Saccharomyces cerevisiae S288C: one gene and its partners. The protein of the gene in region 1 purifies or fractionates together with the protein of each later gene. This does not show direct contact. Each region holds a gene or a part of one and is shown on either strand. Other genes may lie near its edges.

Region 1 (5,266 bases):
TTATACGCTAAGGATGACTTGTTGAAATGGTAATTTTCTTTTATTTTTTTGATAAAACTACTACGCTAAAAATAAAATAAAAATGTATGATTTCCCTCCATTTCCGACCAATTGTATAATTTTATATCTGCATGACTTAATAATATAATATAATACTTATAAAATACGAATAGAAAAATTTAAACCGATGTAATGCATCCTTTTCTTTGTCGTCTTCGGATGATCTGCCGTGACAGGTGGTTCGCGCAAATCAAGCTGGTTTAGAGAATTTAACACAGAAATAAAAAAGGAAGATTCAATCTTCGTTTTTGTTTTATATCTTACTATAAAAGTGTTTTTTTTTAGTACGACGAGAAGTTAGAGTAATTATAAAAGGAATGCTTATTTAAATTTATTTCTTAGACTTCTTTTCAGACTTCTTAGCAGCCTCAGTTTGTTCCTTAACGACCTTCTTAACAATCTTTTGTTCTTCAATCAAGAAAGCTCTGACGATTCTTTCCTTGACACAGTTGGCACATCTGGAACCACCGTAAGCTCTGGAAACAGTCTTGTGGGTCTTGGAGACAGTAGCGTATTGTCTTGGTCTCAAAGTGGAAATACCTTGTAGAGCACTACCACAGTCACCACACTTTGGTCTAGTAGCCAACTTCTTAACGTGTTGGGCACGCAAGATACCACCTGGGGTCTTAACAACCTTGATTTTGTTAGAACGGGTGTTGTCTGTACGTAGTAAAGAGAAAATTTTCCCATTAATGTTAGTAATCACTTCTTTATTATCCTATGATTTAAGAACTTGAGTGGGATTGCTCCATATGAAAAGTATTTCGGCGTTGCTGAATGAATATTATCTCATTTCAATCTTTCAACAGCGGAGAAAAATTCATTTTCCATTTGGGTCGACCAAGGTCTTCCACTTAGAAACTGAAGTCAACTTATTGCTGTCCACATTACTGGATACTGTTCGTTCATGCTGTCTAATGTTTTAATGTCATGCCAATATATTTGAAAGTTCTTGCATAGTTGATTCCCCTATCGATGATCTGGTTCTTCCTATTTCTAAGTGGTACGCTTCTCTAAATAGCACTCGTTCGCCTTTTAACCTCATTTTCCCACAATGAAAGTTCAAAATAAGTTCATAATAAGTTCATAATAAGTTTTCATGAAAACTCAAAAAAATAGTTCAGTAACATACATGGATTTCTTCTTCTGAAAGTAACACGTTGAGCCATTTTTAGGGTTGTTCGTTGCTAATCTATTCTCAGTTTCAATCAAAGTAAATTGAATCAAAAGAATATAACAAGTGCCAAATACTATGTACTACCCGTTATTTACTACTTACAACTAATAAGTTCATCAACTTTTACGTAGAATGCTATTGAAACATTCCAAACTTACCCACCAGCTGCGATGAAACGGCTCCTGAGAGCCCGTTACCATACCGTCTGAACGGGTGCTGGGGCCACTGACAGGAAGAGGAAGAGTTAGAATTGTTACTGGCTCCTCCCCCAGGCGTCAATTCCATCTCCTCCCAGAAGGACGGTCTCTCTGCCCAAAGGAATGAACTTTCATGGGAAGGGACAAATGAAGCGGACTATTGTCGGAAGCGGGACCTCCGAAAGCAAATGAAAGTAAAAATTCAAAAATTCAAAAAAAAAAAAGCTGAAAGGAAAACACCCAAACAACACACGGTATGTGACGACATCTGTACACCGCAAAGTTGTGACGAAAACACAGTCACAGTTTTTTAGAATTTATGATTAGAGTGTTCAAGAAAATAAGTTCCAACACGTAATAGGTTTCTACCCCTGTCTTGTAACATTGATACAAGTAGAGGGAAACTCCCCTCACATTTTCTACAACGGCAAGAAACTGATTCTGAAACTCCGTAAATTCGTTTCTTTTCTTAGTTAAAATCTTATATACGCTAAAGAATGCTACTAAAATGTTTATAAATGTACACTCCTCGGTATCGCAAGTGGAAAAAAGGCAGTAAAGAAGTTTCAATCCTTCAATTCTTTTCAACAGCGATAACTTCCATTTCTAAATCAACATTCAAAGGTAAGGAAGCAACACCAACACAGGATCTTGCAGGCTTATGGGTGTGGAAGTGTTTGGCGTATACAGAGTTGAATTCGGCAAAGTTTTTCATGTCAGCCAAGAATACGTTGACTTTGACTATATTGTCTAAAGAAGAATTACTTTCTGCTAAGATATTCTTAACGTTTTGAAAAACTTGTTCGGCCTTCTCAGAGATAGAACCTTGAACAGGCTTGTTATCTGGAGTATAAGGGATTTGACCAGACACGTACACAAAATTGTTGGCCTTCATAGCTTGGGAGTAAGAGGCGGCAGCGGGTGGGGCCAACTTGGTGCTGACCGGGGTCAATGTTGTTATACCCCTCCTCAAGACTGGAGCTGTTCTCAAAACGGAATTTCTTAAAAACATTATTGGTAATATATTTGTGTGTATGTGTTGTCCTTTTTACCTGTAAATCTCACACAATTTACTAGCTAACCTAATTCTTATGCATGTGTAAGACCCATTTAGTCATATGTATTTATATATATCAGGGGATCCATACGGTGTGTTTTTCGCTGGATGAGCGACAGAGGCGGAATCGCATCTCCGCAAATGAGAGCGTACACAGGAGCAAAGTGAATAACGTCCTTCAATGATAGAGACTTATCCAATAAGCAGCACTGGTCTTCTAAGATCACCGCCTGTGCACTTTTCTACGGGCTCTTTTAATTGTATAACATGGACAGTGATCATTGCATTTTGCATCCATAGGCATACTATGGCTTAAGGTATTACTATCTATCGCGCCTAATCTCTGGGAGTTTTGAGGCCGGTTTCGGAATCTCGGTATCTTGCGATGGGTCCAAAACGGTGTAAACAAAGCAGGGGATAGCAGCGCAGGCTTCAACATCTCAAACCTTTATATATACAAAAAGTATATCTATATATTCATCTACGGTTCTTAAAATAGTACAACAAAAGTTAACAGACATTAATTACTGTAATCAGACTAAAGCAAACCGAGCTAGAACGAACGACTGCTTACACTAGAGAAAAATATGGAGCTAAGTTCACCATCAAAAAAAACCACAACATCGCCAATAAATATACCAGGGGGGAATAGAGATAACCTAATAATCGGACCACATTCTCACAGCTTCAAGACCGATCCATTTTCAAGTAACAATAGTAGTTTGCTGTCCAAAATATCTACTAACCCCAGTTTGGAAAGCCCTTTCTCTTCGAAATCTTTACTAGATTGTTCTCCTGTACAAGCTGTAAAGAAGTCTTTAGAGTCGGAAGCAAAAACGCATAGCCTGGACGAGGAGACAAATGAACAGACTGATGTAAAGATCTTAAACATAGCAGACTTTCCCACAGATGAACTCATACTAATGATAAGTGCGCTACTCAACAGAATTATAACAGCAAACGATGAAACTACAGATGTCTCACAACAAGTGTCGGATGAGACCGAAGACGAACTCTTAACTCCAATCCTTGCTTTCTATGGAAAGAATGTTCCAGAGATAGCTGTTGTTCAGTACTTAGAGAGAATTCAAAAGTACTGTCCCACCACAAATGATATTTTTCTTTCTCTCCTTGTATATTTCGATAGAATCTCCAAAAATTATGGGCATTCTTCTGAGCGTAATGGTTGCGCAAAGCAATTATTCGTCATGGACTCCGGGAACATTCATAGATTGCTCATAACAGGTGTCACAATTTGCACGAAGTTCTTGAGTGATTTTTTTTACAGTAACTCTCGATACGCCAAGGTTGGAGGTATTTCTTTGCAAGAGTTAAACCATTTAGAATTACAATTCCTGATACTATGTGATTTCAAGTTATTGGTTTCAGTCGAAGAAATGCAGAAATATGCAAACTTGTTATATAAATTCTGGAACGACCAGTAGAATGCTGTCCTGCATATTATTCATGCCCTTCCCTTACCGTTACTCGTATTATACATATCAATTTCTGATTTACGTAACGCGTACATATCGGTTATATTTAAATAATTTAATATTCCTTTTAAATCAGTGGTTTTTCATATTAGTAGCATTTCTCCTGAAATGATAGCTATTGCAATAGAATGAAAAAAAAAACTTTTTGCCCAAATAAATCATAATCTACCGGTAAAGAGAAATTCGGTCCTTGTTCTATTCAGTATTATGCTTTCTCTTTTTTTTCCAAAATGAGAATTAAGGACGTTTCGAAAAAGTAAAAATATACCAAATGTGGAATATAAATAGGTTTATCGGCGGACCGATCTGGCTTAAAACGTAGAATCTACCAGTCCAATGTACTTTGATGAAGAACAATTGCTAAAATATACTATATATGCCTATAGATTATCCTTTTTTGTAGGCATTTGCTCACTTTTCATAGCAAAAAGTTGTCTACCAGAATTTCTTCAATATGGTAAAACCTACCGGCCCAAAGAGAATTCAAAGTACTCAAGCATTTTAGAACGAATCAAGAAGTTCACAGTTCCAAAGGCGTATTTTTCCCATTTTTACTATTTGGCTACCTTTCTATCCTTAGTCACCTTATATTTCTATCCTAAATTCCCCATCGTTTGGATCATATTTGGACACTCATTGCGCCGACTTTATGAAACGCTTTATGTACTACATTATACAAGCAATTCTAGGATGAATTGGTCCCATTATCTAGTCGGTATATGGTTCTATTCCGTACTCTTGTTAATTCTTAATATATCACTGTACAAGAACTCCATTCCAAATACGTTAAACATGAATGCTTTCATCATATTCTGCATAGCATCTTGGGATCAGTACAAAAATCATGTTATTCTGGCCAATCTGGTTAAATATTCGCTGCCAACAGGAAGGCTTTTCAGGTTGGTATGCTGTCCTCATTATCTCGATGAAATAATCATTTATTCTACTCTGTTGCCCTATGAACAAGAATTTTACCTAACACTAGTTTGGGTAATCACAAGTTTGACTATATCCGCATTGGAAACAAAAAATTATTACAGGCACAAATTTAAAGACAATCACGTAGCCCCCTACGCCATAATACCTTTTATAATCTAGTAATGTGCACACTAGGGCATTCATATACATATATATATAGACGCGGTAAAGAACCACTTTACTTTCACTATTATCACTTTACCACTAATTAGACAGCAAAGGCTCGTATACGTGTCATTAAAAACGAAGGTAAGGCCATACCTTTTTGAGGCAGTTGGAAAGAGTAAATACTGGCACAGTG
Region 2 (4,512 bases), on another chromosome or scaffold:
CTAGTCAAGCTCACCATGCAGCTCAACATCATCAACAACAACCTACTAAACAGGCAACGGTAAGCCCAAACACAAGAAGAAGAAAGTCGTCAAGTGTTACTTTAAGTCCAACTATTTCTCATAACAACAACAATGGTAAGGTTCCTGTCCAACCTCGGAAAAGGAAATCTATTACTACCATTGACCCCAACAACTACGATAAAAATAAACCTTTCAAGTGTAAAGACTGTGAGAAGGCATTCAGACGCAGTGAGCACTTGAAAAGGCATATAAGATCCGTTCATTCAACGGAACGCCCTTTTGCTTGTATGTTCTGTGAGAAAAAATTCAGTAGAAGTGACAATTTATCACAACATCTAAAAACTCACAAAAAGCACGGTGATTTTTGAAAAAAATAAGGTCAAAAGCAAATAAAAGCAAGACAAGCTACGGTATGACAAGTTTTCGGAGAAATAATATTCTTTCTTCCTCAGTTTACAAAACAAGTAGGTTGGTCATTTCATTCGGATATATTCTAAGGAATGAAATGAACATTGGTGTTTGTTTCTAATATAATCTTAAGATATTTTAAATTGTTTCTTTCCTTTTTTGCCTTTCTAACTATTACTTCAACTTCTTTTCCGTATATTTCCGTTTTTTCCATTTGGCAGATTAAAAAAATTGTGCACGTTCTGGTTTTAACGTATAGACTTCTAATATATTTCTCCATACTTGGTATTTTTTATTCACTTTTTTTATACATATTTGGTTTTTTTATACAATATCAAAAATCAATAATAATTAATTTAATAACAAGAATATGTTGCTGTGATGACTCTTAATATACAATTGGGAAGCATTCAAGGATTGGTACGACGTTTGCTTTCTGATAATTAAACGCTTGGCGTTTAATCTTTTTTGCCGATTAATAATATTATTATTACCCTCTTATTTATTAGCATTGTCTTCCGTACTAAAAGGAGTAGGGAAAAAGGCGAAGTAGAGTGACACGTCCATTACCCAGCGCTTCATAAGAATCCATCAGGTATATTAAATTGTGATGGGAGAACAAAACAAATTGTACTATGATGTCGAGAAATTGGTGAATTCTTTGCAGGAAAGTTTTGACCTGGATTGCGCGCAAAGTGTATCACTTTTCACCAGTAAATCAAGGAGCAATGAGGCTTGGTTGGAAGAGCTAGAGAATAAATTCAAGTTAAAAGATGATGTTGAACTTGATGATGTGGAAAATTTAAGAGCCGAAATTGACATGAAGTTAAATATGTTGGAGGATAAAGTAAGCTACTATGAAAGACTTTACAAAGAACTCGAAGAGTTCCAGAATGAAATAAAAATTAAAACAGTTGTGAATAACAGAAGACAATCGCGAACTCCAAAATGAGCTATCAAAAACGATAGATCGATTAGGATGACTTTGAAATGACTCCGCAGTGGACTGGCCGTTAATTTCAAGCGTGAGTAAAATAGTGCATGACAAAAGATGAGCTAGGCTTTTGTAAAAATATCTTACGTTGTAAAATTTTAGAAATCATTATTTCCTTCATATCATTTTGTCATTGACCTTCAGAAGAAAAGAGCCGACCAATAATATAAATAAATAAATAAAAATAATATTCCATTATTTCTAAACAGATTCAATACTCATTAAAAAACTATATCAATTAATTTGAATTAACTTATAAAGTGTTAGTGGTACGGAAAGTTTCCAAAGACTTGGTGATCTTAGCACCCATGGTCTTTTCACCTTCTCTAACCCAGACTCTTGGGTCGAAGAACTTCTTGTTTGGCTTTTCTGGACCTTCTGGGTTACCGACTGGGGACATTATGTAGTCCTTCTTGTTCAAGACGTAGTCTCTGATACCAGTCAAGTAAGCGTATTGACAGTCAGTGTCCAAGTTGACCTTGACAACACCGTTGTCAATACCAGTGTGGAATTCTTGGACAGTAGAACCGGAACCACCGTGGAAGACCAAGAACAATGGCTTTTCTTCCTTGCAACCAACTTGTTCTCTGGTGTACTTTTGGTGTTCAGCCAAGATTTCTGGTCTCAAAGCGATGTCACCAGCGTACAAACCGTGACAGTTACCGAAAGCAGCAGCAATGGAGAAGTTTGGAGAGATTGGGTGCAAAGCCTTGTAGACGTTGTAAACTTGTTCTGGCTTGGTGTACAAGTCTTCCTTGTCAGCGTTTTCGTTGTTAACACCATCTTCTTCACCACCGGTAATACCGATTTCCATTTCTAACCATTGGTCCATAGCGGCCATTCTCTTGAAGTACTTGACACAAGTAGAGATGTTTTCTTCATCGGTTTCTTCAGACAAATCCAACATGTGGGAGGAGAATAATGGTTCACCGTGTTCCTTGAAGTAAGCTTCATCAGCTTCCAACATACCATCGAACCATGGCAACAACTTCTTGGCACAGTGGTCAGAGTGTAAGACAACTGGGATACCGTAAGCTGGAGCAATGGATCTGATGTAGTGGGCAGCGGCAATAGCACCCTTGATGGAAGCATTTTGACCTTCGTTAGAGATACCCTTACCAGCGAAGTAAGCAGCACCACCGTTAGAGGTTTGCAAAATGATTGGGGACTTGCTGTCTCTAGCAGCTTCTAAAGCAGCGACGGCAGTAGAAGAAGAGGTGACGTTAATAGCTGGAATAGCGAACTTGTGTTCCTTAGCGTAAGTGAATAAGTTGTGGACATCTTCACCAACGATGACACCGGTCTTTCTCTTTAAGATTTGTTCAACACCCATTTTGAATATGTATTACTTGGTTATGGTTATATATGACAAAAGAAAAAGAAGAACAGAAGAATAACGCAAGGAAGAACAATAACTGAAATTGATAGAGAAGTATTATGTCTTTGTCTTTTTATAATAAATCAAGTGCAGAAATCCGTTAGACAACATGAGGGATAAAATTTAACGTGGGCGAAGAAGAAGGAAAAAAGTTTTTGTGAGGGCGTAATTGAAGCGATCTGTTGATTGTAGATTTTTTTTTTTTGAGGAGTCAAAGTCAGAAGAGAACAGACAAATGGTATTAACCATCCAATACTTTTTTGGAGCAACGCTAAGCTCATGCTTTTCCATTGGTTACGTGCTCAGTTGTTAGATATGGAAAGAGAGGATGCTCACGGCAGCGTGACTCCAATTGAGCCCGAAAGAGAGGATGCCACGTTTTCCCGACGGCTGCTAGAATGGAAAAAGGAAAAATAGAAGAATCCCATTCCTATCATTATTTACGTAATGACCCACACATTTTTGAGATTTTCAACTATTACGTATTACGATAATCCTGCTGTCATTATCATTATTATCTATATCGACGTATGCAACGTATGTGAAGCCAAGTAGGCAATTATTTAGTACTGTCAGTATTGTTATTCATTTCTTAGGGCTTGCGTCAGCTTGATGAGGATTTGTGATAGTAGCCGTTGGAGGCATGAAGGGCATTGGAAACATGGGGAAAGGAGGTATACCGAAAGGTAACGGTACTGGTGGCACTGGCGTACCGCCGTTATTTACAGAAGTTGGAAGGCTGGTATTGTTGTTCAAGCCAGCGGTGCCAGTTGGATCCATCAACTTCATTTTCTTAGTTTCTGGCTGGTTGCCATCTTTAGAGCTTCCGTGTAGTTCCTCTTGTTTCTTCAAAAACGTTTCGACCTCCTTTTCCTTGTCCTGGTCGGGTACTAAAGAATCGAGAAGGATATCGCGGGTTTCGCAATTGGGGCATACAAAGTCGCTCTCTACCAGTGCATTTTCCAGCGCCTCTTTTGAGAAATCTATGTTACAGCACTTGCTTGTCTTTACCGGCTGCCTCAAAAGACCACCTGTCAAGGGACATTTTAAATCGTCAGGAAGATCTTTGAAATGGCCTTTTCTCCAAATGGTTTCATCACCATCAATTTGACGGTTCTCTCTTTTCCTTTGGTAGTCTTCCCATGATTGTTTGTCTTCAACTTGTACCACGAACTTGCCTTCGTCCGTAATCATAATCTTTCGCTGAGCCATCTCTTCCGGTGTCATTGTCTCGGGATCTATTTCAATGGATTTTAAAAACTTCTTTGGAATACCTGTGGTTCTTCTGATTCTTTTTCCTTCAAAATTTGGATCGCTGTTAGTTGGACAATTTTTAATCCAGTGGTCTCTACCCCCACAACGATAGCACATATAACCTGGTGGCGGTGGGCCTTCGTTTTCTTGTGCAGAATTCTTATTCGTCTGTGACTTGAAAAAAACAGGTGTGGCTGCAGACATTTCTTCTTGCGTTTGTTCCCATTGATTTTCTTGTGTGGCAAACATACTAGCAATTCTTTCTTCTTCCGTTGTACCACTAACATTAGCAGTGGTTGTAGCAGTGTGTTGTCTCTTTTGCAACACTCTTGGCCTACCAGTAACATACCTTGTTGCGTTCCCAAGAGCTGCTGCTCCCACATTCCCTTTAAGTCGACTGTGTACGGAGAATGATTTAATTGCTGGAGATCTTTTTACTATGACACTAGTAGATCTA
Region 3 (4,148 bases), on another chromosome or scaffold:
CCCACACACGACTCCTTTGCGCTGTAAAGGGCAGAATAGGGAGTGATGTGATGTGATGCGATGTGATGGGTCTTGCAACGTGATCTAGTAGATATATATGTAAAGGTGTAAATAGGTATATAGGCGTCGGTGAAATTTTATTAGCAACACCAGTTCAATACGATCACTACCGTATCACTGGAAATGTTAGCAGAATTGTCTCATAGAGAATTGATAAAGTTGGCGCAGAAAAGATGTATACCACCTTTATTGCCAAAGTTTCATAAGGGACAGTCTGGTGGGAGAGTTTGCATTATTGGAGGATGCGAAGATTATACAGGGGCACCGTATTTCAGCGCCAATGCTACAGCCTTGATGGGCTGTGATTTGACACATGTCATCTGCGAATACAACGCTGGTACGGTCATTAAATCGTACACCCCAAACCTAATGGTTCATCCATACCTTCGTATGAGTAACACCAAATTAGACGTTGATATGGACGAACAAAGGAAGAAAATCAATTCCTTATTGGATAGAATCCACGTTGTGGTAATTGGACCCGGCTTGGGTAGGGACCCCCTAATGTTAAAATCCATTAAGGATATCATAAGATATATACTTGAAAAACATGAGGGCAAGATCCCGTTAGTAATTGATGCTGATGGACTGTTCTTAGTAACTCAAGATAGCGAAGTCAAAGAAATGCTGAAAAGCTACCCCAAAGGTAGAGTGATCTTGACGCCCAATGTGGTAGAATTCAAAAGACTATGTGATGCCATAGGCAAGAAGGGAGACTCTCACTCCGAGATGGGCAGCTTGATCGCCCAGGAATTGAATTGTATTGTGGTGGAGAAAGGTCAGTCAGATAAGATATTCTCACCCGATAGTGAAAAAGACATGTTGACGAACAGCGAAGAGGGCAGCAACAAGAGGGTAGGAGGCCAAGGTGATACTTTGACAGGAGCTATATCATGCATGCTTGCATTTAGTCGTGCAATGTATGACTTTAAGATTTGTGAGCAGGAAGAAAAGGGAGAATCTTCTAACGATAAACCCTTGAAAAACTGGGTAGACTACGCTATGTTGAGTTGCTACGCAGGCTGCACAATTACACGAGAATGCTCCCGCCTAGGATTTAAGGCTAAGGGACGTGCAATGCAGACGACAGATCTAAATGACCGTGTCGGTGAAGTGTTCGCCAAACTTTTCGGTTAACACATGCAGTGATGCACGCGCGATGGTGCTAAGTTACATATATATATATATATATATATATATATATATATAGCCATAGTGATGTCTAAGTAACCTTTATGGTATATTTCTTAATGTGGAAAGATACTAGCGCGCGCACCCACACACAAGCTTCGTCTTTTCTTGAAGAAAAGAGGAAGCTCGCTAAATGGGATTCCACTTTCCGTTCCCTGCCAGCTGATGGAAAAAGGTTAGTGGAACGATGAAGAATAAAAAGAGAGATCCACTGAGGTGAAATTTCAGCTGACAGCGAGTTTCATGATCGTGATGAACAATGGTAACGAGTTGTGGCTGTTGCCAGGGAGGGTGGTTCTCAACTTTTAATGTATGGCCAAATCGCTACTTGGGTTTGTTATATAACAAAGAAGAAATAATGAACTGATTCTCTTCCTCCTTCTTGTCCTTTCTTAATTCTGTTGTAATTACCTTCCTTTGTAATTTTTTTTGTAATTATTCTTCTTAATAATCCAAACAAACACACATATTACAATAATGCCAAAGTTAGTTTTAGTTAGACACGGTCAATCCGAATGGAACGAAAAGAACTTATTCACCGGTTGGGTTGATGTTAAATTGTCTGCCAAGGGTCAACAAGAAGCCGCTAGAGCCGGTGAATTGTTGAAGGAAAAGAAGGTCTACCCAGACGTCTTGTACACTTCCAAGTTGTCCAGAGCTATCCAAACTGCTAACATTGCTTTGGAAAAGGCTGACAGATTATGGATTCCAGTCAACAGATCCTGGAGATTGAACGAAAGACATTACGGTGACTTACAAGGTAAGGACAAGGCTGAAACTTTGAAGAAGTTCGGTGAAGAAAAATTCAACACCTACAGAAGATCCTTCGATGTTCCACCTCCCCCAATCGACGCTTCTTCTCCATTCTCTCAAAAGGGTGATGAAAGATACAAGTACGTTGACCCAAATGTCTTGCCAGAAACTGAATCTTTGGCTTTGGTCATTGACAGATTGTTGCCATACTGGCAAGATGTCATTGCCAAGGACTTGTTGAGTGGTAAGACCGTCATGATCGCCGCTCACGGTAACTCCTTGAGAGGTTTGGTTAAGCACTTGGAAGGTATCTCTGATGCTGACATTGCTAAGTTGAACATCCCAACTGGTATTCCATTGGTCTTCGAATTGGACGAAAACTTGAAGCCATCTAAGCCATCTTACTACTTGGACCCAGAAGCTGCCGCTGCTGGTGCCGCTGCTGTTGCCAACCAAGGTAAGAAATAAGTCTGAAGAATGAATGATTTGATGATTTCTTTTTCCCTCCATTTTTCTTACTGAATATATCAATGATATAGACTTGTATAGTTTATTATTTCAAATTAAGTAGCTATATATAGTCAAGATAACGTTTGTTTGACACGATTACATTATTCGTCGACATCTTTTTTCAGCCTGTCGTGGTAGCAATTTGAGGAGTATTATTAATTGAATAGGTTCATTTTGCGCTCGCATAAACAGTTTTCGTCAGGGACAGTATGTTGGAATGAGTGGTAATTAATGGTGACATGACATGTTATAGCAATAACCTTGATGTTTACATCGTAGTTTAATGTACACCCCGCGAATTCGTTCAAGTAGGAGTGCACCAATTGCAAAGGGAAAAGCTGAATGGGCAGTTCGAATAGTACTTAAGATTAGTTAAAAGTCCATGATTGAACATTGATGTGGTAGTTACATGCATGATGAATATGCGCCATGAGAGGTTGGTGAATTTTGAGATAATTGTTGGGATTCCAATGTTGATAAAGGCTGTTATATTATGTATACAGAATATACTGGAAGTGTCTCCTCGAGGATATAGGCATCCCCAAAAAGGAATCGATATTTCTACATAATAATATCACGATTGTTCCTCATTCCATTTCATATGTTTCATTATCCTATTACATTATTGATCCTTGTATTTCAGCTTTCTCTAACTTCGATGACAGTTTCTCATACCTTATGTCATCATGTCCACATTTGACACCATATAAGATAATATACTGGTAGTATAACCACTAGTTGATGACGATAGTTGATTTTTATTCCAACACGCGGACATATTAAATGTACGGTGGCTAGCAGGCCTCCTATTCACCATATTTAATCTTCATTAGTTGTACCTTTGACCATTGACAATCAACACAATAATTATGAACAAAATTTCCTGGTACAATGATTATGGTAAAGAAGAAAAAAAACGCTGCTTGCTATAACCAAATCAGAAAATATAATACTATAATAAAAATACATCAAACTACTTATCTTCAATTATTTTCCCGCATAATTAGATCATATAACTGCTGGAACATCAAACAAATATTAGCTCGCGTGGCGTAATGGCAACGCGTCTGACTTCTAATCAGAAGATTATGGGTTCGACCCCCATCGTGAGTGTTTTTTACACCAGCAGTCAAAAAGAGTTACTTTTGATATTGCATGTGTCGATGATGCAACTATGTCTTTCTCTGCGTACGGAATCTAGAGCTATGTTAAATGCTTGTTTTTAAACTATCTATCGTTCATCTAGTTATAAATTATAATTATATTACAGTTTTTCATCTATCCATTCGCGCCATTGGGAAATTTTTCTTTTATTAATACTGCCCTCAAAAGCAACTACAGATGCTTCCAAATTTGCAAATTTGAACCCGTCGGTAGACTGTAAAACGTCTAGTGTATTCTCTGCATAATCTTCTTCGTTAATTTTTCTTTCAACCTCGTTCAACGATTTTTTCCTTCTTTCAATAACCTTTTGAATTTCGCTTTCTAAAGCATCCTTGATCTTTGATGGTGGTCTTGCAGTGAACAATTCGCTTTTATTGCATGCAATTAAGATATCAATACCATTTTCGCAACTAGATTCAGTAATTGATAATATGTCTACCAAGAACTCAGCTGTTGTTGTTAATTTCTTA

Evidence for each region.
Region 2: the proteins of MMF1 (region 1) and FBA1 purify together in Saccharomyces cerevisiae (affinity purification with mass spectrometry; 2 studies listed by BioGRID, with this or other methods). This does not show direct contact.
Region 3: the proteins of MMF1 (region 1) and GPM1 purify together in Saccharomyces cerevisiae (affinity purification with mass spectrometry; 2 studies listed by BioGRID, with this or other methods). This does not show direct contact.

Annotation. Positions count from the first base shown.
Region 1 is NC_001141.2:255,835-261,100, forward strand, and holds MMF1 (isoleucine biosynthesis protein MMF1), read right to left. Parts: upstream 2,447-5,266; coding exon 2,009-2,446; downstream 1-2,008. Other genes in the region: glycerol-1-phosphatase GPP1, read left to right, coding at 1-33; 60S ribosomal protein eL34 RPL34B, read right to left, coding at 392-720, 1,193-1,229; PCL7 (Pcl7p), read left to right, coding at 3,079-3,936; DFG10 (putative polyprenol reductase), read left to right, coding at 4,324-5,085. UniProt on the Saccharomyces cerevisiae protein: Plays a role in the maintenance of mitochondrial DNA.
Region 2 is NC_001143.9:324,732-329,243, forward strand, and holds FBA1 (fructose-bisphosphate aldolase FBA1), read right to left. Parts: upstream 2,757-4,512; coding exon 1,677-2,756; downstream 1-1,676. Other genes in the region: stress-responsive transcriptional activator MSN4, read left to right, coding at 1-389; BLI1 (Bli1p), read left to right, coding at 1,040-1,381; cleavage polyadenylation factor subunit MPE1, read right to left, coding at 3,387-4,512. UniProt on the Saccharomyces cerevisiae protein: Catalyzes the aldol condensation of dihydroxyacetone phosphate (DHAP or glycerone-phosphate) with glyceraldehyde 3-phosphate (G3P) to form fructose 1,6-bisphosphate (FBP) in gluconeogenesis and the reverse reaction in glycolysis.
Region 3 is NC_001143.9:161,966-166,113, reverse strand, and holds GPM1 (phosphoglycerate mutase GPM1), read left to right. Parts: upstream 1-1,728; coding exon 1,729-2,472; downstream 2,473-4,148. Other genes in the region: NNR2 (NADHX dehydratase), read left to right, coding at 184-1,197; SRP102 (Signal recognition particle receptor subunit beta), read right to left, coding at 3,779-4,148. UniProt on the Saccharomyces cerevisiae protein: Interconversion of 3- and 2-phosphoglycerate with 2,3-bisphosphoglycerate as the primer of the reaction. Can also catalyze the reaction of EC 5.4.2.4 (synthase), but with a reduced activity.